7 linked regions of the Solanum lycopersicum genome follow. The main gene of each other region encodes a partner of the protein of the gene in region 7 in a complex. Links are inferred from orthologs where the notes say so. Each region holds a gene or a part of one and is shown on either strand. Other genes may lie near its edges. The genes, in order: transcription initiation factor TFIID subunit 11, transcription initiation factor TFIID subunit 15, transcription initiation factor TFIID subunit 1, transcription initiation factor TFIID subunit 15b, transcription initiation factor TFIID subunit 10, transcription initiation factor TFIID subunit 5 and transcription initiation factor TFIID subunit 7.

Region 1 (4,156 bases), on a different chromosome or scaffold from region 7:
TTAAACGGAGAAAATAACTCAAGATCTAAAATAGTAAAAGAAACAAAAAAAAATTCATATCATGATGCAACCAACTAAATATTTTATTGCAAATGTTTCATCATGTAAGCAATATCAAATGAGACATTTTTAATATAATTTTTTCAAGGTTAATACTTGCCACTTGAACCACTATCTTCATGATCAATAGAATGTGCGTTGAGTGAGCTGCATACACATGTTCCATCAACACAAATACATTTTGGAAACATATTTTCATGATTGTTACAATCATCTGTTGTGCTACATTTTCTCATGCCTGTCGCCACATCTAAAAAGTTATAAAACAATTGTTAACATTTTATAATACGTATTGACAAAGTAAAGAACTACAAAATCAACTGATCTGAAGGAAAAATGATAAGAGGAAAACAAAATAGACTAACCACAAGAAGCAATCAAGAAAGCAACAACAAAAAGTGCCATAATCGAAGTTTTGTCCATCTTTTTGTAAAATAATAAAACCTTTAAGAATTTTAGAGTGTTTCTTAGTTTTTATCGTACACAACCTTATATAGCATTTAGCATTGAAAACTTTCAAAAGAAAAAAATTTATTACAATAGTCTTGTTTTAGACTTTTAGTGATTTTCTTTTATAAATTTCTTGATTTGATTAATTGGTCAACAAAATTCTTTGTACTTAGTCAAAGAAATATTAAAATTCTAATTACTAACCATAAAAGAACAAAACTAAAAATGTTTTTAAAGTATGTGATATTCATTTAATTTGCTCTCCCTTGTATATGGGCCAAAATGAAAATAATTTGGTTAAAATCCTAGGCCCATTACTAAAAAACCATCTGTGATTTGTTTGGCCACAATTGCAAGAAGGTAAATGAAGGGTTGCGTATCGATTTCGTTTGATTTGAGGTTTATTGGTTATTGATTTAGAGATGTGCTAAATTATTTTAGAACTATTAAAATATTAACTTATCAGTTATCGATTTATTAATTATCAACTGTTATTGATTTGGTAATTTGTTTAACCGTTAAGATTTGATTTAAAATAATCACTTAAAAATACTGTGACGAACAAAATGAGTGGACATGTAAGTTCACATATCACATCACTGTTGAATAATCGAGAATTTGAGACACTCAAAAATAAAAAAGATAAATTTATATAGTAAATCAAGGACATTATCTACTAAATTGTATAAATATAATTCTTTAATTTACAATCAAGTTATTAGTTAATCCATTAAAAAAAATAATTTCAAATCATTAAAACTAATATCTCACTAATTAAAAAAAATCAAAATCGTTATTAAAACCGCTAAATCAATAATTTATTATCAGAGGCAATAACCTTTTTTTATTGGGATTATCTGTTTCCGTCCGCTTGAACTGCCCTAATTCATGAATCCAATCAAATCCGACCCGACCCGACCCATGAGCTAATCCAATTTAAACCCACAACCACATCAGCGAAATCGACCCGTCAAATTTCTTCAGACCGGCCGCCGGCACGCTCGCCGGAATTATCTTTGGTGAGAGATCAGTATCACAGAATTTGGCTCGCCAGGTATTTTTCTTTCTATTTGGATTGATCAATTATGATTTTGCCTAATATTGCAATGAACAATTTTTTTGGATAATCGTGGTGTCCGGGCTAGCTTTCGTGCAGTTCAATTGTTTGAAATCAGCTGGAAATCTTTCCGTTTATGACCTATTTCATGCTACAGCTGTTCACATACCTTAGATTTGTTCCGTGTTTATTTCGTTGGCAGAACCGATCCATTCCATTAGGGGAGGCCTGTTTCATGCTATAGCTGTTCACACTTTAGTTTTGGAAATGTTTTTAGGTTAAATCACATGCAAAGCTTGAATCTTTAAGGGTTGTTTGGTACAGGGAATGGGATAGACAAAGTTATCCTACCATATATATGATGGGATAAACAATCTCGGGACTAACTAATTTCCCTAACCAGATGCAGGATAAAATAGTCCTGCATTTTGTCTCGGAATTGTTATTCCTTATCCATCATACCAAACGACTCCTTATAGTCTTAGTTTTGTGACTTAGGATGTACCGGGAGGATGTCTTTGTATACCCACCAGGGCTTTGGTTATTGAGTGATGTGGTGGTTAGGCGTAAGTTACGTGTTCAAACCCTTTTGTTGGAAAAGCCTGGTATTTAAGTGGGAAGGGTAAAGGAATGAGCCCATTATACACCACAACAGACTGCAGGATCCTATCGGTTATGAAAAAGAAGAGAGGATATCTTATCATTGCTTCGTTGATGAAAATTTAACAGGGCAATAACTGCAGTTATATAACAAAAAATGTACCAGCGCAAGTAGACAACTACTTAACCTTTTGGTCTCACTTGAAATAGTACATTGTTTTTTTGTTGAAACTGATAACATGAAATAGTACAGTATTTGTCTTCTATATTTCATTTTTATCTTAATCTAGACATATTGAAGGATGGTGTAGCTTCTAGTTCAAACTTCAACAATGTTTCTTTGACATTGTTGCTTCATCCTTATCTTTACTTTCCTTCCTTCCGAATGCTTTAATCTTTTTCATCCTTGCAATGATCATTTGATTTGAGAATATCTGAGCTGCATCAGTTCAACTCCATTAATTTATCAATCGACCTGGTTGGAGAGTGTGGCCATTTTGTGAGGTCCAAATCAATCTAGTTATAATTTACCATGCCTCCCTAAAAAATTGTCTTGAACATATCACATTATTGTGTTGGAAGTTGGTATATCTCAATCAAAATGGATGAATGATTAGCATGGTGAATAATTTACTTGAATCTAAACATTCTGGTGCAGCGAATTCTATGAAGCGATCTAAGGATCCTTTTGAGGCTACTTTTGAGGAGCAGGATGACTCACCCCCTGAATCCCCTGCTGGAACCGATGAGAATGAAGGCCAAGATCAAGGTGCAGTTGGTGTTAATATGAATGAAGGTGACGATGTTAATACCGATTCTCGTGAAAAACCTTCAACATCTAAAGCTACATCAGTCTCTGTTAGTACTGCTGGTCCAATTAGCAAACCCAAAGAGGAAGATGAGGAGGAAGAGGAAGAAAGCATGGATGTGCAGTTAGGAAAACTCTCATCAAGTAGTGATCCTGACAAACTGGCGAAGATGCAGTAAGTTTGTCAGTTTATGTTTTCAAATATCTCGAACTCTTTCTGTTTACAAGGATTCCATTCACAGAAGATTGTCAAGATTGTATGCTATTATCCTGTTCTGTGATAGCTTATGTGGGTGGTTGGACCTGCCTACTGATCAATTTGCATAAAAGAATAACTCCTTTTCTGATGATTTCTATCCCTTCCTCTCACCTTCCTTTCTTTCCTTGTTGATTTGTTACTCAGACTATTAATTTAACTCTCTTTTGTATGCTGTATTCCCTCAGTATATCTGCTGTATCATTTTTTTTTTAACAAAAAGTATGTATATATAACCAGCAGGTCAATGCTTCTATTGAGATCTGTGAACAGATCTCATCTAGCTTGATATGCTTGATTTACTGCAGATAAACACCAGTAGGAAATATAGTAGCTGTTAAATAATAAATTGACATTTTGTATCAGCATTGTTAAGTAAGGGCAATATGGAGAATAACTAATTTAGTATGGAAGAAACCATATTGTGGTCAAGGCCAATAAAATGGGAATTGTACATTGCAGTTATATATATACTTGTTATGCTAAAGTTTTTCTTCTGCACCTCCTTGTTAAACAACAATATACCTAGTATAATCCCATAAGTGGGTTCTGGGAGGGTAAGATGCACGGAGACCCTACCCCTACCTTTGTGGGATAGAGAGGTTGTTTGGATACATCCCTGGCTTAAAAGGGAAGCTATTCATTGAAGGGTTGCAATAAGAAAACATGAAAACAAAATATCAGGACACATAGCAAAATGAAGCAACAAATAGTAGAAACACATAGAAAAATAAGAAACTATGCGAGTTACTAAATACTACTACTAATAAGGAGAAGAGGATATGGCATTGCCTCTCCCACCAAACGGGCGACCACACGCGGCTACCTACTAAATTTCTACTCTAATGCTCGACCTCCAGGCCTTCCTATCTAGGGTCTGCACCTCGTTTTTACGTGAGCTCAGTTTAGAATATTTTTCTATCCT
Region 2 (4,172 bases), on a different chromosome or scaffold from region 7:
AGCAGCTAATGCAGCATGAGGGTCTTCATATGTGACTGTGGCATCGCCTTTGGGCTCATTAGTAACTTTATCACGGTATAACCATATCTTGGGCCTACCGCTTCGTTTGTCTTTCTACAACATGAAGCAAAACAAATCCTTAGAAAAGAATAAAAAAATCAAAGTGATCTGTTCAAAGCAGAGTAGGGGGAAGTGGGAGAGAGCATATAACAAACATTCTCGAACATAATTAGAAGTACCTGTTCACAACCATACCTTTAGCACCCCTATTGTGCCAAAATATTCAGCTAGCATATCTTCATCTGTACCAAGGGGCAAGTTACAGACATACACAGAACCATTTAATGTAGATCCTTTCCCTGAATAGCTTGCCATTTATGCTCCAATTTCATCAAATCCAATGACACAATAAAAACCCCAAGAACTGCATAAAGCAACAACCTAGTATTAGTCCTGCCACAGTTCCCCTGTCCTTAAAAGTAACTACAGGCAAATCATATTAAACTGAGAAAAGCACCAGAGTATGTGCAAGTCAAAGGACCAAACCAGAAGAAATGAAGAGATAACTAAAGAAATTTTTTTTATATAAGATAGGGTGTAGGGAGGAAGTTGGGACGAAGCCAACTTTTAAGTGGTGGGATTAGAGACAAATGCCACTTGGCAGTAAATTTTCCAAAACAGCTGGAAATTGGTTAATGTTTTCTTACTGCAATCTTGTAATACATTAAGGAAAGAGCTAAGTAGTTATTGTCCTTTATGAGTATAGAATTTCAGGTCAATGGGCTAAAAGCACGTGTAGAATACAATACTTTCGAGTATACCCAATTTGAGAACACTACTAGGGACCTTCACATGTCGATGCCTGTTAATTTTTGCAACAAGTTGAGAAAATTATCAGGAACTCTGATTTATCAATCAATCAACTACGTCTTCATCCCAAACTAATTAGTATTGGCTATATGATCCTTCATATCTCTCCCGCACTATTTTTTTCCTTATCAATGATGTTATAAGTACTTGCACTAAGTCAGTGCCACAAAATGTAACTAAAGATTGAGATTTGAGGCATTGAGCATATCCACTATTGCATCTAGGCTAGCATCTTCATCATGTTCAATAACCAGTTTGCACTAAAAAGATCGAAAAAAGTATACAGTTTTGTTTAAGGGTATGTCTGATTCTTCAGTTGCCTAAGAAAAAATCTGCTATTTCTTTCAAGCCATATAGTCCACCAAATGGCTCAAGGAATGCTATTCCAAGTATTTGGGGATTTCTTGCACAGCCTGCTCTCTTTGTTCCAGCATTGCAATAGCTCAAAAATGGAGAACAATACAGTGCAAGACATGCTAAACATTGACAAAAACATGCACCATAACCAGAACAACAGGCTTCAAAACAAAAGCTTACTAATCAAATGGCTTTGGAGACTCAAAGATGAAAACTAAAGTATCAATACCATATGTGGCAAGGAGGACCAGTGGACTCCTAAAATCACTAATAACTAATAGAAACTACTATTTGGAAGCATATTTATCCTTATTAAAGGTAGTTCAACTCTTTTACTAGCAGAGTTGTGGGAATCGGCAAATGCATCAGATTCTGACTGGATCACTAGTTAGATATTGTGATACTAAAAAATGAGGTCCCTACTTCATTAAATAGGAAGTGCATGATAAACTGATGGCTGTTTGTTTCTCTAATACTAGATAACATCTACAACTTAGAAGTTAGAAGAAACCTCAAAGATTGGGAAAGACTAGAGAGTTATGAGTTTGGTCTTCTAAAGAGGTTCTGCAACCTGTATCTGCAAAAGATATTAATATTAATTCATTGAAGTGGCTGGCTAGAAAGAGTAGACTTTACTGTAAAGAGTTGCTATGATCTACAAAAGCAATCCCATGATTGAGATATGGATTAGCCTTTGAAAATTATTTGGAAATCAAAGGTACCTCCAAGGTAACTTGTATTGGTAGAGTTGGAACCAAAAGCAACCAGGAATGCCTGTATTCAGGACAATCTTGAAAGAGAAGGTGTGTCCTTGTGCAGTAGATGTTTCTTCTGTGAATGTTACCAGGAAAGCAGCAGAAACCTATTTCTCTATTGTAGTCAAGCCTTGCTAGTTCAGTCATTTCTCAATTTGTTTGCTGTCTGTTGGGATATGCCAGGAGATGTATAGTGGCAAGGACAGAGATATCAAAAAATTCAACAAAGTTCGAAAGATTGCTCCTTCATGCATTTTCTAAACTATTTGGACCCGAACAAGAGTTGATTTAAAGTTGATGAATTTTACCATAGCCTATCATGTTCCGATAGGTTGATACAATAAGGACAGCACGTATATTTTTAATGACTTTCATCTTACCCTATCGAAAAGGAGATGAAACCCACAACACATGGAAAAAAAATATATTTATAAGTCTTGAATCTTTTTCAGTGTGTGAAGGCAGGCAGATTGGCAATACATAGAATTTAGGAGCCATTAATAAGAAAGTAGTATGTAAATTCGAGTACAATCCACGACGAACTATACAAGTTGGATTCTAGGGTTTGTTATACAGTGAGATTACAAGCGAAGCAATGCAAGTCATGAGTGAAAATGGAATTAGGGTTTTAATTTTGACAATAAGAATCTAGAGAGGGACTTACAACTCGATTACGCCGGGGCTGTACTGAAGAGATCCACCGGAGAACAACGGAGAGAGAGCAATTTCGCCGGCGCCAACTTCGCCGTATAATAAGAGTGCCTTTGAAATTGGGGCAGAAACCAATAAACAATATGTATTGTGTTTGGGTTGGGTCCATTTTTATCCATTGCACGAATTTGGGCCTAAGAGTTCAAAATCCATTTGAGCCTAGTGCACAAACAATTATTTTTTTGAAAAAAAAAATTAAACAACTACACAATATTTCTTGGACAACTTTCACATATAACAAATATAAAATTCTTAATTTTATGCAATGACAAACTTTTCAAAATTACATTTCGTAACAAAATTGTAGTTTGCTACGGATGAATAGCTGTTTGGTGAATTGTATAATTAGTATATTATACAGTGCAGAAGAAATTGTATAAAGTAAAGAGAAAAGAGAAAAGAAAAAGCTTATGTTTGTAAACTCAGAAGAATTACTGTTTGGTGAATTGTATAATTAGTATATTTATACAGTATAGAAGAAATTGTATAAAGTAAAGAGAAAAGAGAAAACATATGTTAGCAAACTATGGATTTATCGTTGTTTGGTGAATAGTATAATTAGTATATTTATACAGTGTAGAAGAAATTGTATAAACTAAAGAGAAAAGAGAAAATTTTTGTTTTTATATTTATATTTATATAGTGAAGATTCAAAGCCCATTTGGATAGACTTAAAAGTAGCTTTTAAAAAGTACTTTTGAAAATGTTGGAACTTATTTTTAAAATACGCAGTTATGTGTTTGGCTAAAAGTGCTGAAATTAAAAAAAGGTTGTTGATGTGTTTGACAAATAAGTGCTGGTAAACACTTTTTTAATCAAAATGTCTAAAATACCATAAATGTTGTGAACATGATAAAAGTTGATTAATTTACGATTTTTATACTTCAAAAACTGAAACAAAATTAATTTATATTTTACATCCATCAGTAATTATATTTTGCTATCATTCACATATTTCCTTATTATCATAAATTGTGTATAAATAACAATAATAATAATTATAATAATAATAATAAATAATAATAATAATGATTTAATATGAAAATAATAATAATAATATAATAATAACAACTATTATTATTATTATTATTATTATTATAATTATTGTAATAATAATAATTATTATTATTATAATAATAATATATTATAATAATAAATAATAATAATAACAAATAATAATAATAATAATAATAATAATAAAATAATAATAATAATATTATAATGATAATAATATATAATAATAATAATAATATAATGTTATTATTATTGTAATTATATTATTATTATTATTATTATTACTATCATTATTATTATAAGTATAATAATAATAATAATGATAATATATAATAATAATAATAATAAATAATACTAATGATAATTATAATAATAAAAGATAAAAATAAAATATTAATTATAATATTAACTATAATAATAATAATAACAATATATAATAATAACTATACATAATAAATAATAATT
Region 3 (3,500 bases), on a different chromosome or scaffold from region 7:
GGCGCATGTCACTAAGTTCGAACCCTGTCGTAGAAAAGGTTTGTTATTTAAGTTAAGTGTGGAGGGACTGACCCATCATCTGCCAAGTTTAAAATTGTGCACTACCTGGTCCGTGGGGATTTCTCATTTATTAAATAGAAGTAACTGGTTGTCTGATTATCATCACTATCTAACTGTAGGAATTTTAATTTTTACCATGATAAGGATGATCTGATGAGACGCTAATTTTTGTCCTGATATACATCCAGCACTCTCTAGGTGCTGTGATAGATGAATAATATGCCTTTCTTTATAATAAGAAAGGTGATCTATGTCAAAGTTGACTAGTCTGTTGCATTGGTTAAGTGGAGATTTGTTTCGCACATAAGTAGTTTATTGGTATGAATTTTTGGAAGTACTTTTTCTTGTTTCTTGTTGTAATGGAAATTCAAAATATCCAAGTAGGATGCTGAAGAATTTTACTTTCTGAGATGTAACTGAAGCCAATTGTTTTCCCTGTGAATTGTGCAAATAACATCTTAAATGCTATCTGTCTAGAGGTGGATATATGAAGCATTAAAAGATCCTTTTTCTTTCATCTATATTTTTGGTGCAATGTGTACGGCCCCCTTTTGTATAGCAGCTGGATGTATTTGACAGAGGACTACTCTATAAAAATATCTATACATATTTTGTGACCACCTTTGTGTTATTGATGAATAAAGATTTTTTTGTTTCAATCTAAATTTTAGGTGTGAGGAATAGACCCCTTTTTGTATAACAATTGGATAGATTTTAAAACGTAGCACTATATTCAATCACATGGTACATATTTTCATCACCACCTTGTTGTGTTTCTGGTGAAACCTTTTGATTTAAAATATTGAAAGAGAATTTTATCACTTCTTTTCATGTATATAAAACTTTAAGATGTTTTTCCTTAGTCTGCTCAACATTTTTGTCTGCTCTTCTACTTGCAGATACTGTGAGGAGAGACCTTTGCTCCTTGGAAATGTTGGAATGGGTGCAAGATTGTGTACTTACTACCAAAAATTATCTCCAAATGATCAGCAAGGCACCTTGTTGCGCAATGGAAATACTGGATTGGGGAGTGTACTCACACTTGATCCTTCTGATAAATCCCCCTTCCTTGGGGATATAAAACCTGGTTGCAGCCAGTCATCTCTTGAAACAAATATGTATAGGGCACCGATTTTTCAGCAGAAGGTCTCATCAACTGATTATTTGTTGGTTCGCTCAACAAAGGGTAAGCTGTCCATAAGGCGGATAGACAGGATTGATGTTGTAGGGCAACAGGTTGTCTACTATCCTTAACTTGTCTCATTGGAGTAATTTCTTGATCACGCTATGCAAATTTTATGTTATCATTTTCTGATGAACTTTTTGCTAAAATATTGATTGTTTTAGTAGAATTTATCGAACCACGGCATCAAGAAAATTTCTGGGTTCATGTTATTATGCTTTTGCCAGTAATGAACCTAAAGCAATGAGCTGTTGCATAATAAGGTTGAATTTTGAAATTCAGAAGGCATATGAATTGGTCCTCCTGTGATGGGGTTGCCTTTGATTTTCTCATATTTTTGCATTGTCCACATGCATTCTTCTTGAAGCATTCAACTTGTTTTGCTAGATCTGGTTAGAACTTCTCTTGATGTTACATTGCCTTGCCTGATCTGTTCATTTGTGCGATGGAAAACTACCTTTGATGACCAGTTGCATATTCAAAATACACACCTTTACTATATCTTTTGATGATGATGTGAGGTGCGGGGCCTGAGTGTCAGGTCATGCCAATGAGTTGATACTATTCCAGGCCCTGGATGGTGGAGTATCTGATTGTAGTTTGACAGATCTGAAATAAATAATCTAAAATTGGATGATCCGGAATTCGTGAAGGAAATGGATTCGAAGCTACATAATTTATTCAATTCATATGCTTTTTTTTCATTTTTTATTCCTGGAGGAAGTAGAGTTTGCTTTGCATTAGTTGTGGTTAACTACATTATCTTTGGATTTTTCTACTTATTGGTCATGGAGGTATATTGGTGTGCATTCTCGCTATAAACCCAATTAACTTTCAACTATTGTTGCAAAATTTGCAATAGTGGACAATTCACTTTGTCCTCTAGATTTTGCTATCCTATTAAATATTGGATTTTTCTTTGTGCAGTATGCTAACACATGCTTCTGTAATGTGCAACATGCTATAGCTATGTCGATGCTTATACCTGAAGAGGATAACCAAGTTTCTTTAATGTGCAAGCATGCTATAGCTATTAGCATCTTATGCTTGAAGAGGATGATCTATCATGAATAATTTATGACTAATATCTGTTTGTTGTTGCTTCTGTATGAATATGTGATGGATCTATTTCCTTGTTTAATCTGCCTTTCCCTGTATTCTTGAAGGAGCCTCACATGGAGGTAATCTCTCCTGGATCAAAAGGTGTTCAGACCTACATAATGAACAGACTATTGGTGTATATGTATCGTGAATTTCGTGCTATTGAAAAGCGCGGTTCCCGTCCTTCCATCCGTGCGGATGAGCTGTCTGCACAGTTCCCTAGCTTGTCAGAGGCCTTTCTTAGGAAAAGACTCAAACATTGTGCTGATTTGCAGGTACTTTTGTGAACATCATTCAATTCCTGGGTAAATTCTTAGTACAGGCATTAGAGGGAAATAATTTATTCGAACTCGTCTTTGTCGCATTCTGTGTGCTCCTTCCCCTTATGTGTCTGTCGTAAGTTACTTGGGTGCTGACATGATGCAGAGAAGATCAAATGGACAGTTCCAATGGGTTATGAGGTTCAATTTTCGGATACCATCCGAGGAGGAATTGAGGAGACTAGTTTCGCCGGAAAGTGTGAGTTCTTTCAAAAGATCCTTGTTTTAAATTTCTCTTTCATCTCCTCCATCCCCCTGAAAAGATCTCCCTCCCTCCAATTTAAAAATATTCTTTAATTGATGAATTAAGAGATATTATGCGCTTGTCAAAATAACTTGGGATACAAATAACACTTTCTTAAAGCTTCATCTTTCGATTATGATGGAGTTTTCCACTTTAGCACATTTGGTATTGGGAGGAGGCTTAATCTTCAGATGTGCATTCAAATTTAGACGTCTTCATCTATAATATATAGTATATCTTTTGATGAAGTAATGTTTCAAAGGATGCAAAGTCACTGGAGGCTAGTTACCAAAGAATAAAAGAGTAGGAGAACACTGTTTGCCCCATATACAATGTCTCAATAAAGAACTAAAGTGCTAATAAAATCCAAAAGCTATGCTGAATTAGTTACTGGGAACAACGTTGTCCAACAAAAGAGATCTAAACATTTAGCTGAAGAGAATGGCTTGGAGTTGAGATGCCATCAAAAAATTTTCTGTTATTCTCTGTCCAAAGGCTCCAAAAATTAGCAGCAGACATCATCAACCAGGTCTTCTTGATGGTCTTATCAATTTTCCGAGGACTCCAACTCACATATGCCTCTCTCGGATTC
Region 4 (2,105 bases), on a different chromosome or scaffold from region 7:
CAGTTGTGCTACAATTCACAGTTTATGTCAACTCACAACATGTCTTAGTGGTTATGCTGTGGAATGTATGCAGAGTTAGCAAGTGTGTTTAACTAGATAGTGGATGTATGGTTATTTTTATGAATTCTCCAGAGTTTTGGTTGTTTATCAAGTAGATGATCAGAGTTGTTCTTGCATCTGATGTTGACTCTAATTGCTGTGCCAAATTTCATACTAAAGTTGCATGCCTAAAATTCATACTTGATCGCATAGGGTGTCTGTATTGAAGTTTAATTTCAATAATTATTTTCAGTAAATTGTTAACATCATTGATACATTGATTTGTTCCCAGAGAAAAGCGAATTAAGCAATCAAATTTCATCTCTATAACTTGGTACTACATTTGTCCTTTATGAGGTGCATGGGAACCCGGTTAATCATAATTGTGTGGCTTCATTAGTAAACATTTTTTCTTTATCCTGCAAAAATATATTCATCAGCATCATCTATGTATATTTCAATGTAAAACTGTAAAGTTACATATTTCAATAGTGCTTTCAAGAATTAGTGTTTTTGTAATTTTTTTTGCATGTTGTATGTTGTAATTGTGTTTTTAATCGATGTCCATTTTTGCTACTTGAAAATCCACTTGCTGATTGACACCCTATGCATTCTTCCTGCCCTATGTTCTTTCTATTGCCATTTAGAACTGTTTATATATTTTATTGGCTCAAGGTTTAGAAAATGTTTAATCTATTGGATTGAATGAAGAATATGTTGTTTCTTTTATATTATATAGTTCCATCGGGTTAATGATATATTTGGCTGGCTTTATTTAAGCTGAGGGTATATCGGAAACCACCCCTCTATTTCTACGAGATAGGGTAAGGTCTGCGTAGTCTACTACCCTCCTAGACCCTCTTGTGGGATTGCACTGGTTATGTTGTTATTTGTTGGGTTAAATTTATAAATGGGATGGGGGACCTTTTGTGTATGCTGAACTTACGACTCCCTGTGCTAACCTGTATAGTAAATATATCTCTTATGCTCATGTCTGTCTATACTTTGACAGCCGTGGCGGTCGCGGAGGTTATGGTGGTGGTGGTGGCGGGCGCAGGGATAACTACAGAGACGGTGGAGGTTCCGGCCCAGATAGACAGTTTCATGGTGGAAATCGTTCACGTCCTTATTGAGTTCCAGTCGAGCATTTTATGTACTAAAATTTGTGGTGGGAGGGTTTTTTAGTTAGTTCCATTTCAAGATATACTCTCTGTGACTTAAAAGAGGTAGGCTGTTAACTCACTTCCATTTGAGCAATATCCACCTTCTCTTCTTTCTTTCTGCTACTTGGGGTTGCGTAAGGGGTGGGGTTTTCTAGTTCAGAACCTTTTTTGATATGTTGAATGTTTTGATAGAGGCGATTGGATATTCTGCAAATTGCTGCTAAGGTAGGTGAAATATTCAGGTGAGTGTTACTACTGTGGAAAACCGATTACTCTGGTAATTTAAGCTGAATGATGTTTGGTCTCTTTAAGTGATTTTGCTTGCATTTTGGAAATGCTAGCATCTCTGCACTAGACCCCTTGTATAATGAATTTGTTTCCTATATGATGTTGCTGTTAATTACTTGTACTGTTTTCTTTTATTGTGTATCTGCTAGTTCAGTTTCTCTTCCATGGAAGAATATGGAGGACAAGTCTCTTGTACTAAACACATTTTTCAGCATGAATGGCGGAGTACAATGGTGAAGTACTTGGTAATTTAATTGTAGGGATTAATGTTTGGATCAGAAAAAAGACATCCGACCACACAGCTATACAAATAATGATGATGTGTTAGTTACAATTTGAGAAAACAAGACTGTAAATTGATTGTTTGGTCTGAGTGCTTGCATGTTGGTTCTCAATCTATTCACAGGAAATAGGACCAGTGTCCAATTTTTTTGTCGTTCTAAATAAAATTCCGAGTGGCAATAGTTTTTCTTTGTGTGGAGCATACATTGGAAGTAGCTTGAATTTTCATTTTGGTACTTCTGCAGGTTTTTTGTACCCCATTTTTAGCCATGTGTCTGTTTTTATCATTTTCAAATTTGGTACAACAAATGAGTACTTTTTAGTGGGTAGTAG
Region 5 (4,284 bases), on a different chromosome or scaffold from region 7:
TAAAAATGCGAACAGTAAGTACCTTTACTACTGCTTCTCCATCAGTCTCTCCATCGGCGATTGTTCAAAAATCGCCATGGCATTCGCCGGCGCCGTATCTATTCGCCGGCGTAGCGTCCATGCTAGTGTTAATAACTTTTGCTTTAGTAATCCTAGCTTGTTCTTACTGGAGACGATCCGGCTATCCGAGAGAAAACGGCGATGTAGAATCCGGCGACGGCGAGAAATCGACCGGTGATGTTTTCAAGGCGTCGCCGGTTTTTGAGGAGAAAATAGTTGTGATAATGGCTGGAGATTTGAATCCAACTTTTTTGGCTACGCCTATTTCGAGTAGAGGTAATTCGTTTGGTGCTGGTGATAAAATTGAGAAGAAATTGGAAAAGGAAACTGAAGAATTTGATGATGAGAAGGCGAAAGATGAAGCTATGGATCAAGCTCATGAAGAATCTCAAATCGGCCATTGATGAAGCTACTGAGCTTTGAAAAAAAAAAAACAGAGCAATTTTCTCTATTTTTTTTTTTGAGTTCTTCCATTTTTGGTTTAATTTTTCAATTTTGAGATTCGGGAAATTGTACTCAATTTTGGTTGAGATAACAAAGAGTTAGAAAAAATTTTCGTTTTCGAGTAATATGTTTTCACGGAAATTGTTACTTCGATTTGATACGTGTTTTATTAGCTAACGATAATCATAAGAGTCATTTTGCTAAAAAATAAATAGATCGTTTTTAAATTTTTCAATGAAAAAAGTAAAATTGATGATATATTTTTAATATAATGAATGAAAAGAGTAGAATCAATTATATATCGATTTAGAAAATGAATTATTTGAAGAATCTCGAATGTATGTGCATATGTGACGTTTGCGATTTTATATCTATTGTGATTTACTAATTATATTTGATAATTTATAGTAATTAAATATGATTTAAAAATCATGCTTATTCATGCAATTTATAGGTCGTATCTATCGAATATGATATATAGTTAATCTATAAATTGAGTTACTATTAATATGTAATTTATAAATTATATTTATCTAATATAACTTTCAAATGATGCAAATCAAATGTGATATTAGTCATATTTGTGAAACATGATTTATAATCGTGCTTACCAAATCATTCAAGTACCAATTAAGTTACTCAATTGTATTGTAATTAAATTAGTTATCAAATAATATCCAAATTGTTTACTCAATAATAATATAATTCATTTTAATCTTCTATGATAGAGAAGAATAAAATGGCTAACATAAGTGATTATGAGTGTGTGTATATATATATATATATATACTTCAATGTAAATTTTAATTGCGTTTGGTTTGATAGAGAATAAAATAATTTAATTATATTTTTATTTTATAATTTTTTTAAATGTTATGAACTATCAAATTTAAAAAATAAAATAAAATATAATTTTTTTTTTTACGAAATATTATCGTTAGCTAGGTAAATATATATGCCCCTCTTCGCGAACGAATTTCACATAACAAAAATACAATTCTCCTCTATCTTAGGCCTTTTCTCATTTTTTTTCTTTTTTGCACAATTGTGGAGAAACAATTTTGAATTTTAAAAAATAATCAAAATTATAATATTTCTATATCCTAGAAGGAAAATAATATTACTTTTTCAATATGTGAGTTTAAAAATAATTTTTATATATATTTTTAAATATTTTAAATTATCGTAACCATAGTAATTTTACTTACCTATTACTAGAATATTTTTCTTCAGTTTCTTCTTCCGATTTTTTTCTCAAAGTAAAAAGGCACAAATCTTCCCCAATTTTCCTCCGGCGAAATTGAAACTCCGACCACCGCCGATCCTCCGTTGACTCTGTTTCGACGGTGAAGATGAACCAAAGTCAAGGTCAACAAACAAGTGAAGGAAGACACGAGGATGATGCTGTTCTAGCCGATTTCCTTGCTTCCTTGATGGACTATACTCCCACTGTGAGCTACTTTTTGCCCTTTTTCTTACTGAAGAGATCAATTTTATGTTTTATTTATGTAGGTTAACGCTTTTGATCAGATTCCTGATGAATTGGTGGAGCATTACTTGGGTAAAAGTGGATTTCAATGTCCTGATGTTCGATTGTATGTATTTTCTTCCCATTCTTATGTTGATGTTTCTGCAATTTAGCCTGCTTAGATTAGTTATAGAAAAATTGTTTGGATTGCTCATAAGGAAGATATGATTTTCGTGTGTTTATCTAGAACTATTTTCACTAGGTTTATCCTCTGTCTTGAGCTAACCGTAGTCTTTAAACTCGAATACGATGAACGCGCTCCTCAACCTACGTTTATTTTGCTTGGCGTAGCGAAAGCTCTACACTTTTGCCAAGTGAGCTAAGCCCTGGGGGTTCAAAGGGAGATATTATGTTACTGCAGCAAACAAATAAATTGGGCAAAGGTGCCCATATAATGATGTAAAATCCAGCTTGGGAGGATGTCCTCCCAAGATATTTCCTTCAACGAAGTAATAGAAAACTTAGCTGAATTATGTGCTAGTTTTGTTTAGACTTCTCGGAATATGAACAAAGTCTACATGATCAAGCAAGCTCTTAGCTTCCAAATGTCTTCACAAGTCACCTCTATCTCCCATGAGGTAGTTAACTTTTTCCTGAATCATAATCAATAACACTCTTTGCTTCCAATAGGATTCTCACATCCTTCCAATTGTTCCTGATTGTACGTTCAAGAGCCACTCTTAAAGCAAGTGCTTCAACAGTCATAGCTTTTCCCGCAAACTGGATTGGGGAAACATGGGCATGAATCAGTTTTCCAAGGCTTTCCAGAGCTGCAACACCAATATTTGCCAGTCCAGTATCCACCTGTAAACCTGCATCAGTAAACAATAATATAACATCTTGGTGGGTTGTTGGTGGAGCCGCAAGGCAATACCCATTTTTATGAAAATTAGATGAGCAATTAGCTGAATATCTTTATACTCGTAGCAATCAAACAGTGACTAAGCGGCAGTATTCTCTAGTTCCGTTTTTGTTTTGATCGTTTTCTATTTATCTGGTTTAGCAGTAAATTCAAGTAAAATTTATATATCTGTGAATTGGATTGGTATTTACCTTTTTACAAGTTGTAAATTTTAATATTGTAGCATTTGATGTTTTGTTTGACAGTGATGGCTGGTTTATCTTATGTTATCAGTTTTTAATACTGTGTTGTTGTATTGAGTTTTTCCTTTGGATATGCAGAATAAGGTTGGTGGCAGTTGCTACTCAGAAGTTTATTGCAGATGTGGCTACTGATGCTCTCCAGTATGTTTCTTAATTATTTTATTTTTCTTGAATTCTGTTTCCTCCTCCATCTTATGTTAAGTATGCTGCTAATTCTTCGGCATATTGCTCATCGATTGTCCCCTACTCTTGAGGCTTCAATGCAATTGTTGCCTGTCTAGGTGTTTGTCATTGTATGATCCTTCCAACTTTTAAGTGTTCAAGTTGTTCTCCTCCCCCAAACCTTAAAAAAACTCTTTTTGGTTCGTCTCTAATGAATTAGAAACATTAAGTTGGTAATTTTAGAATCCAAGCCTGTTATATTTTTAAAGACTGCCGACCCTAACTTGACTACACTACCAAAAATACAACACCTGAAATTCTCTATTGTTAGCGCAATAATACTACTACCTCAGGAGATTATTGTGTCTGTGACACTCCAAAACCTTAGAAAAGAGACAAAGAAACAGAAAAATACAATATAAAGAAACTAAGATATGACTTGAGTAGACATGTAGAAAGACCTTGTTTCAGAATATATGATTACAAATAACAAAGCATCCAACTTTCTCTGAACTTCCTTTCTTAATGTTTCCAATGGATTGTTATTTTCCTAATGCTTCTACTGGATTGTGGTAGATCTTCTCAACTGTGACAAATCAGTTGTGTTTTGTTTCGTTATCGACTCAAGATTTTGTGAATGCCTCACTTTACTCACTATTTTGCCTTCACTAGTCGTAATGAAAGTAAAACTCATGAAATGCTGTGAGTCTTTTGAGGATAGATTATGGCTTTATCATCGGAAGAAAGAATAAGAGTTTATGAATGGTCTCTTATGTATCCTTCATGTTTAGAAAGAAATGGATATTTATGAAACGGGCCATTCCAATAGAGAAACAACATAATGCCAGTGGTTGAAAGCAGGCAGGTCGATGAAAGTTAGGATATATCAGGAGCAAGGGGTATCTCCATTGGTATTCTGTGTAGAGACTAGAAATATGGTTGAGACAACAAGATGGCAGTGGTTGAAGGAAGGAAAGTTGATGACT
Region 6 (3,261 bases), on a different chromosome or scaffold from region 7:
AGGTCACATGGTTATAGAGTAAGCATATAGAACTTCAGTAACTATCATAATCCATATGAATAAGAACTATTGTAGAGCTAATAGCAATCAAAGTCATATGATATCATACCAGTTGAATCTGATGATGAAGAAAGAAGAAAATCCCCGTGCGGACTGAATGATGCAGAATAAACAGGCCCTGAATGGCCCTGAAGTAATGTATAACATCTTCTTCCACCATTTGCGCCAAGCACATGCTCACTTGAAGGTGAATCAGTCTCCCCCTGCAAAAAAGCTGGTTCTAGCACTGTTCATCAACCATTCTTTTTTCTGTTTCGGCAATTTTTTGTGTGTATGAGAGACAGGGGGGCACACATTAACAATGACATGTTTTGCAAGATGTTGATTGTTTACAGCAATACTCTAAGACGTCAGACTATCTATGGCTACCCTGGCCCCAAAGTAGTAGCCTTCTTTTGCTTCAGCGAGTCAAACAAACTAATCCTTGGTTAAATTGCTTTCACATACTTTTATAGATATTAAAGAACAACTACACCCCTGAAGCAATAACCTTTCATTTAGTTCTTGATATGTGGGTTTTATTTTTGAAGGACAAATTATTCAAAATTAGTTGCTTCAGTAACTGCTCAAATTCATCCTCAATAAGCAATTTGTATGGAGATAGCAGCTTTTATAAGAAAATTGATAACCCTCAATAAGCAATTAGTATGGAGATAGCAGCTTTTTTAAGAAAATTGATAACCCAGAAATCCCCGAGGGCTAGCCGACGCAGTCCAAAACTCGGTGGATATTGGAGTCGCCCCTCTCACATTCTATACTTAAAAACTATGTTTTTTGAAGTGGTTGGGTTCAAACTCGTGACATGCCTCTAACTCAAACATTACATGATGTGCTCTTACCAATAGACCAAATTCATGGAGCTGAAAAATCAGTTTAAGAATCAATCTTGACTGCTGATATGCCTTAGAGAATAACATAACAGCTGGCTCCAAAGGCGTGCATTTGTAAGGAACTATGAGCTATTTGTCTTATTTCCTTTCTGCAAGTTAGAATATGACAGCTCAAGGCAAATATGCCAGTTTTACAATATAACTAGATTTTCCTGAGGGATTGTAGTGAGAGTATCAGAAAAGAAAATCCAACTTAGAATTTAGGACAAGATAAAGGTGGAATCAATTTTTATAGCAAAACTACCCTCAACCTGATACATCACATGCAACATTCAGAATATTACTGATGGTGCAAAAGAATAAACAACTTAGCACAAGCTCAACTATATAAAAGGCTGTAATAAGAAGTAAATAATTAATACGAAATAACAAAGAATGAATAAAGAACATGAAATATAGCATCATATGGAAACTTTTCCAAGTAACATGGACATCTACGCATTGTTTGGCACTTAATTGGTATTTATAAATGAATTTCTTTTACTTACATTCCACCTTATTCAACGGAATTATCACATCATAGGGATTATGATCGGCCCTGAACCATAGTGGATATGCAGGCCTTTTGAGAAAACTCTAACCAGAGGTGCTTTGAAGACAAGCAGAATGGACTTCAGAGCTTCAAGATGAATTCTCTAGCTTTATTTTATTTTTGGTGAAAAGAGAACTTTTTAGTCCAAGCGCAAGATATCTGGGATGTCTTGGATTATTTGTAAGAAATATAGGTGATAGACGGCAATATTACTAGACTGCAATACCTTTTGAAGGGGACTACATATTTTGGATGTAGTCTAGCTGTGAATATTTAGATTAGTGTTACTATCCTCAAAAAAAAACCTCATGTTAACATTTGGATTCAAAATGTTTGCCTTTTCCTTAGGAGTATCTAAACCACTAGCATACATGATGAGCGTCATAACAAGACATGTGACAAAATTCTCAATTATTGATCACTTCAACATTATAGGAGTGGTTCAAGACTTTTTAAGAGATAGAAAACGAGTATGTAGACTCAAGGAATAGCTTTTCAATCCCTTGATTCTTTTTGGTGCATTAGTGAAGTTCTTATAGGCCAGTCTAACTCGATAAATTTAAAGAAGAGAGGATTCCAGTTGAGCACCAGATGTTAGTAATACTGTGCAGACTTAAAGAGTCTAACAGACACCTGTTCTTACATCTTGGTGTAACTGCTCAATTGTAGCAACTCTTCCCAAGCATAGTTGGACTCGGATGGACAGTGCCAAGAACTACAGCTGATTTACTGAGATGTTGGCACAATCAGGGAGATCTCACTCCAGCATTTGGTTGACAGCTTTGAAGGAAAGGAACCCTAGATGTTTTGAAGGCAGCAATAGCCTCATTCAAATGATAGAGATGAATTGTTTTGTGTTGTTTATGTTTTTGGTGCAAAGAGATTATGTAAATGATGTAGAATCCAATATGACATGATAGATCCCTAGTGAGAAGTAAAAGGATTCCCAATACTTTTGGAAGCTGCACATGGTTACCAGCACAACCTTTTTACCAAGTTTCTTTAATACAAATGTTACTTTCTCAAAAAAAACAAAAAACAGTAGGATATTGTTTGTTAGAATCATATTCTGATACTTTCTCCAAAAAAAAAACAATAGGATATTGTTTGTTAGAATCATATTCTGATATAGTTATTTTTTGTGTACTGCATTGTATACAGGAGACTTTTCGATTAAAATTATTTACCTAATTGAAAAATGCAAGGAGTTCAAGAAATACTTCCATCAGAAATGTAAAGCTGCATTTATATGTTCAGTCGAGAAACCTTCATAACTAATCATGTTTCTGCTAAGCAAATTTCTGATGTAACAAACTTCACAACCCTAGTGCAGTTTCTTAGTGAAATAAAATTTATCTACTTATCAAATAAATTAAAGCAGCAAAGAATAAATCTTTCTTGCTGTCCTGGCGAGATATACTGTGACTAGGAGTAGTATTAAAAGGGACCTTTTCAACCTCTATTCACTAAAACATCTTGAAACATGAAATAACAATACATTGAAAAGGAGCTGAGGACCATCATATTGGACTTACATGGACCAGTTTGTTCCCCAAGCTTTGCCATGTCCCAGACCTGTAAAATGGGGGACTTAGATTAGAAGATGATCAAAGTTACCAGTTCCAAAAAAAAGATAAGAAGATGATCAAGGATCAACAGATACTGTAATTTGTGACAACATAATTTCAACGTCATTCAGAAGCTACAAGCACCTTCACAGATGAATCTGAGAATCCACCAGCCACTAGTGATCCATCATGTGATATTGATGCACAGTTT
Region 7 (3,955 bases):
ATAAAAAAAGCTATTTTTTTTATTTCATACTAAGTGATTTTTTGAGATTTTTTTATTGTTTAAAATAATTGAATTGTTTAAAGTTCAAGACATATGTTTGGATTATTTTCTATTTTGTCCTTTCTTTTAATTGAGTTTTATATTTTCTACAGGATAACTTACACCATTTACAAAGTTATATTTATGATTCAAAAAAAGATAATATTAAAAAATATAATTTCAATTATGTCCTCAAACATTTTTCTTTAACAATGTGCATTGCCTCACTATACAATACAGTGCTATCCAAACAAAAAGTGTTAATATGGAATAGAAGAATTATTAGATTAACTGAGATCGTTAATTTTTATGATTGATCTTAAAGGCTCAAGAATCATAATTTACCACAGTGGCTACACCAATTAATCCAAAATTGAATTTTACCCAATTCATCATTATTTTATTTTAATTGTAGTTTTTTTCAATTTAAAAACTTTAAAATTTTCATATTGAATTCGAACAATTCATACCCTCGACTTAAAATAATAAATACTTCTTTATTTTTAACTTTTTTCTTTTTAAATTTGAACCTAGATATAAGTTTGGACAACTTTCATATATAGCAAACATAAAATGCATATTTGTATGTTATAATAAAGTTTGCATAATTGCACTCCATAGCAAACACATAAATGTATAATTCGCTATACATATACAATTGAAGCGAATTATATAAAATTAAGTGTGTAAAACTAGAAAGAGAAAGAGACTTGAACAGAGAATTGTATAAAACAAAGTGTATAAAACGAATTGTATAAAATGTAAAAGTGAGAAAGGCAAAAGAGACTTGGACAGGGAATATACAATTGAATCGAATTGTATAAAACGAGAAAGAGAGAAATTATATACAATTTAAATTTGTATAAAACGAAAAAGAGAGAAAGACAAAAGAAACTGGGTAGGAGAGCATTTTTATTGTTTAATTATAAGTGTATAAGACGAAAATATTTATAAATTTTCTCTCGCTTTATACAAATAGAAACACAATTTATACATTTCGATTAATATTATTATTTAAATCAGATTTGCTGACGTTATTATCATTATTTTAATTATAATATTATTTTTTAAAATATTTTTCACATTACCACCAAAATCATTCTAATTGCTATTAATTAGTGTCTCAATTTGCATAAATTCGACACACTTCCATTAAAATCATTTTTCATTCTCTCACTTTTCTCGAAACCCAGCTTCTTTTTTTTTTTTTTTTTTCTTCATCATCTCTGCTTCAACAATTGGCACTATTTTGTGGTGAGAATTCTATCAATTTACTATGTTAAAGAGAGAAGAATCGAAATTCCTACTTATTAAAGTTTTTTTTCGAAGGAATTTGTTTGATCTATTTCTATAAATTTTGATTCTTTATTCAAAGTAGAGTACAAATTACTCGTTTGAAAATTGTATGATTCTTGACTGATACTTATGGAGAAGATAGTGATGTCAAAAGGGTGGAGAAGATAGTGATGTCAAAAGGGTGGAGAAGATAGTGATGTCAAAAGGGTTCTTTGATTGAAAGTAGAAAATCAAGTTTAAGGGTGTTTCTGAAGTTATTTTTGTTTGGTCAAAAGATTCAATTTTTCTTCTAAATTTGTGCAGCCATGGATGAGCAATTTATTCTGAGGGTTCCACCTTCTGTTGCTGAGCGAATTGACCGTCTTTTAAGTGAAAATCCTTCTTCAGAAGACAAACTGGACTTGTCTTTTTCTGGTAACTTCTTTTTTTCTTTTGGAGTTCTAAATATTGTTGTGCAGGAGCTTATAGTTTTAAGTTGATGGTCAAGAATACACTGAACTATCAGGTGTTCATTGTTCCCTTTTATTACTTGAAATGTGGCAATTATTAAGGTAGGAAAAGGAAACAACTAATAGTTGAGGTGTCTTTTGGTAACTAGTTGGTGATGGTTTAGGTAGGAAAAGTAAATACCGGACAGTTTAGGTTGAAAACTCGCAAAAATGTGATATTTCAAGTGTGATTTTTGCCATTATCTTTATAATTTTTGACACAATTATTTGACATGTTGGCATTTACTCTTTAGATTTAAACTAGTCCTACTTCACACCAACATTCCTTTTATGTTGTTTCACATCGTTAATACTCTCGCATCACCTATCAAAACAGGAAACCATAGTCCTTCCATCTTTCGCTTCCCATGTGTTCGTATTGTCATTCCTTAAACCTTTGATTATTATTTTTATGATAGCCAGGGTGTCCGAGCCAACCTGTGTACACTTCAGCTAATTCCACAAAGTACTTGCTACCTCCGACCGTGCAAGTATTAGGTAACTCTTTTCACCAAAATTTGGACAGATGGGAAGAAATCATTAGTGTTTTTGCCTGTTGAACCTAGGACCTCACGGTTCTCAACCCACTTCATCGATCACTATTCACTAGGCCACCTCCGTGAGAGCTGAACCTTTTTACTCCCCCCTATATCTTCCAATTCCGTATACTGCTTCTGATTCAGAGAACCTTTGGGATTTAGAGAATCTGTGATTCGTCTTAAAAATGTTAAGTATTTAGTACTGGAATGAAATTTACTTGAATAGAGGGGAAAATACATAGAAGATTCATCCAAATCTAACTGATTTGGGATTGAGATGTGAATGATTAACTATAGACTGAATGGTTTTCCAAACAATTTTTATTCTCTGAGGTTATCTGGAATACCCATAAGAAGTTCCAAAATATTGGGGGTGTGAAGTTGTCAATAGAGCATAGTTTATTCTACTGTCGTTTTGATTGAATTTGTAAATTAATAGTCTTTGGTGTCCACAAGTTATATGGCCTCATCTGATTTCTAAGGCAGGATTTTCCCCCCATTGTGGCCCGCCATACCTAGGTCTTTTCTTTCATATGCTAATAAGTGAAAACATTGTGGTCTGAGTTTTGGATTTTTGTCCAGACCTCCCTGAGATCCAATGAGGATGAAAACTTCATCCTTGTTTAATTTCTTCTAAAGTGGGAAGAGAGGTTAAGTAGTCATTGTCTTCATAGGTAACTTTCTTAGGGATGCAGCTTAATATGTTCCAGTCCACTTGTTCCTTTTGAGTGAATTGTTTTTGGAAAAAATTGACTGCTTCAAAAGCTCTGCCATCTTCCCCTTCTATCCAATTCCCAAACTCATTCTTTATAGTCTTGAGCATAAGTCTCCTCCTTTTACTATTGATAACTGATGGAAGAACTTGGTGTTGTTGTCTCCTTCCTTAAGCCATTTAAGTGTAGCTTTTTGTCTAAAGTAAGTCTTCAGTTTTCAAATGCTTAATGAATTCAGCATTTGCCTTATTGTATTCTTGTCTGATGGTGCTAGAATGGTTGGTTTCCATTATGGTTTCAGGATCTTTTACCTTTTTTTCAAGCTTCTTGGTGTTTTAAAAAATGTCACCAATGCTGTTTTTTGACCACCAAGAAAGATGTTTGCGCACATTTTTAAGTTTCAAATGCATTTTCCACATTGGGTTGCCATGGACCTCAATGTTCCACGCATTTTGAATAACTCCCAAGTAGTCAGGTTGCTCTGTCCAAAAATCAAGAAACTTGAAGTACTTAATTCTCTGAGGAGTACCTGTAGAGAAAGAAAAGAAAACAGGTGACTGATCTGATCCTGTTCTTATGAGATGAGATATGCTAGAATCAGGAAAAGTCTTAATCCACTCGTCATTAGCCACGACTCTGTCTAGCCGTTTCCAAATCCTGTCTTCAGGGAATCTGCCATTACACCACGTGTATTTGGAGCCAATAAAGCCCAAGTCAAGCAAATTACAGTCCATTAGGCAGTCTAAGAAAGGTAATCTTTTGGCCATCCTGTGGGAGTTGCCCCCCTTTTTTTCTTCTGGACCAACGATGCAATTAAAGTCTCCTGTAACACACCAAGGAGATGAGATGTTAGCAGACCAGTCCCTCAAACTATCCCACA

Evidence for each region.
Region 1: transcription initiation factor TFIID subunit 7 (region 7) and transcription initiation factor TFIID subunit 11 share a complex: the UniProt entries of both Arabidopsis thaliana proteins name them as parts of the TFIID complex. The link is inferred for Solanum lycopersicum from reciprocal best matches to the Arabidopsis thaliana genes TAF7 and TAF11.
Region 2: transcription initiation factor TFIID subunit 7 (region 7) and transcription initiation factor TFIID subunit 15 share a complex: the UniProt entries of both Arabidopsis thaliana proteins name them as parts of the TFIID complex. The link is inferred for Solanum lycopersicum from reciprocal best matches to the Arabidopsis thaliana genes TAF7 and TAF15.
Region 3: transcription initiation factor TFIID subunit 7 (region 7) and transcription initiation factor TFIID subunit 1 share a complex: the UniProt entries of both Arabidopsis thaliana proteins name them as parts of the TFIID complex. The link is inferred for Solanum lycopersicum from reciprocal best matches to the Arabidopsis thaliana genes TAF7 and HAF01.
Region 4: transcription initiation factor TFIID subunit 7 (region 7) and transcription initiation factor TFIID subunit 15b share a complex: the UniProt entries of both Arabidopsis thaliana proteins name them as parts of the TFIID complex. The link is inferred for Solanum lycopersicum from reciprocal best matches to the Arabidopsis thaliana genes TAF7 and TAF15b.
Region 5: transcription initiation factor TFIID subunit 7 (region 7) and transcription initiation factor TFIID subunit 10 share a complex: the UniProt entries of both Arabidopsis thaliana proteins name them as parts of the TFIID complex. The link is inferred for Solanum lycopersicum from reciprocal best matches to the Arabidopsis thaliana genes TAF7 and TAFII15.
Region 6: transcription initiation factor TFIID subunit 7 (region 7) and transcription initiation factor TFIID subunit 5 share a complex: the UniProt entries of both Arabidopsis thaliana proteins name them as parts of the TFIID complex. The link is inferred for Solanum lycopersicum from reciprocal best matches to the Arabidopsis thaliana genes TAF7 and TAF5.

What each region holds. Positions count from the first base shown.
Region 1 is NC_090804.1:5,061,233-5,065,388, reverse strand, and holds the start of transcription initiation factor TFIID subunit 11, read left to right. Parts: upstream 1-1,356; 5' UTR 1,357-1,564; intron 1,565-2,825; 5' UTR 2,826-2,833; coding exon 2,834-3,150; intron 3,151-4,156. UniProt on the Arabidopsis thaliana protein: TAFs are components of the transcription factor IID (TFIID) complex that is essential for mediating regulation of RNA polymerase transcription.
Region 2 is NC_090810.1:45,838,641-45,842,812, reverse strand, and holds the start of transcription initiation factor TFIID subunit 15, read right to left. Parts: upstream 2,801-4,172; 5' UTR 2,647-2,800; intron 425-2,646; 5' UTR 376-424; coding exon 256-375; exon of another isoform or gene 240-255; intron 115-239; coding exon 1-114. UniProt on the Arabidopsis thaliana protein: TAFs are components of the transcription factor IID (TFIID) complex that is essential for mediating regulation of RNA polymerase transcription.
Region 3 is NC_090806.1:3,258,954-3,262,453, forward strand, and holds part of transcription initiation factor TFIID subunit 1, read left to right. Parts: intron 1-959; coding exon 960-1,296; intron 1,297-2,409; coding exon 2,410-2,619; intron 2,620-2,770; coding exon 2,771-2,863; intron 2,864-3,500. UniProt on the Arabidopsis thaliana protein: TAFs are components of the transcription factor IID (TFIID) complex that is essential for mediating regulation of RNA polymerase transcription. Core scaffold of the TFIID complex.
Region 4 is NC_090805.1:50,539,679-50,541,783, forward strand, and holds the end of transcription initiation factor TFIID subunit 15b, read left to right. Parts: intron 1-1,051; coding exon 1,052-1,172; 3' UTR 1,173-1,605; downstream 1,606-2,105. UniProt on the Arabidopsis thaliana protein: TAFs are components of the transcription factor IID (TFIID) complex that is essential for mediating regulation of RNA polymerase transcription.
Region 5 is NC_090811.1:67,585,591-67,589,874, reverse strand, and holds the start of transcription initiation factor TFIID subunit 10, read left to right. Parts: upstream 1-1,484; 5' UTR 1,485-1,856; coding exon 1,857-1,955; intron 1,956-2,034; coding exon 2,035-2,099; intron 2,100-3,214; coding exon 3,215-3,277; intron 3,278-4,284. Other genes in the region: protein GLUTAMINE DUMPER 2, read left to right, coding at 6-464. UniProt on the Arabidopsis thaliana protein: TAFs are components of the transcription factor IID (TFIID) complex that is essential for mediating regulation of RNA polymerase transcription.
Region 6 is NC_090805.1:43,588,075-43,591,335, reverse strand, and holds part of transcription initiation factor TFIID subunit 5, read right to left. Parts: coding exon 3,195-3,261; intron 3,058-3,194; coding exon 3,018-3,057; intron 275-3,017; coding exon 110-274; intron 1-109. UniProt on the Arabidopsis thaliana protein: TAFs are components of the transcription factor IID (TFIID) complex that is essential for mediating regulation of RNA polymerase transcription.
Region 7 is NC_090803.1:63,319,516-63,323,470, forward strand, and holds the start of transcription initiation factor TFIID subunit 7, read left to right. Parts: upstream 1-1,155; 5' UTR 1,156-1,293; exon of another isoform or gene 1,294-1,557; intron 1,558-1,638; 5' UTR 1,639-1,640; coding exon 1,641-1,749; intron 1,750-3,955. UniProt on the Arabidopsis thaliana protein: TAFs are components of the transcription factor IID (TFIID) complex that is essential for mediating regulation of RNA polymerase transcription.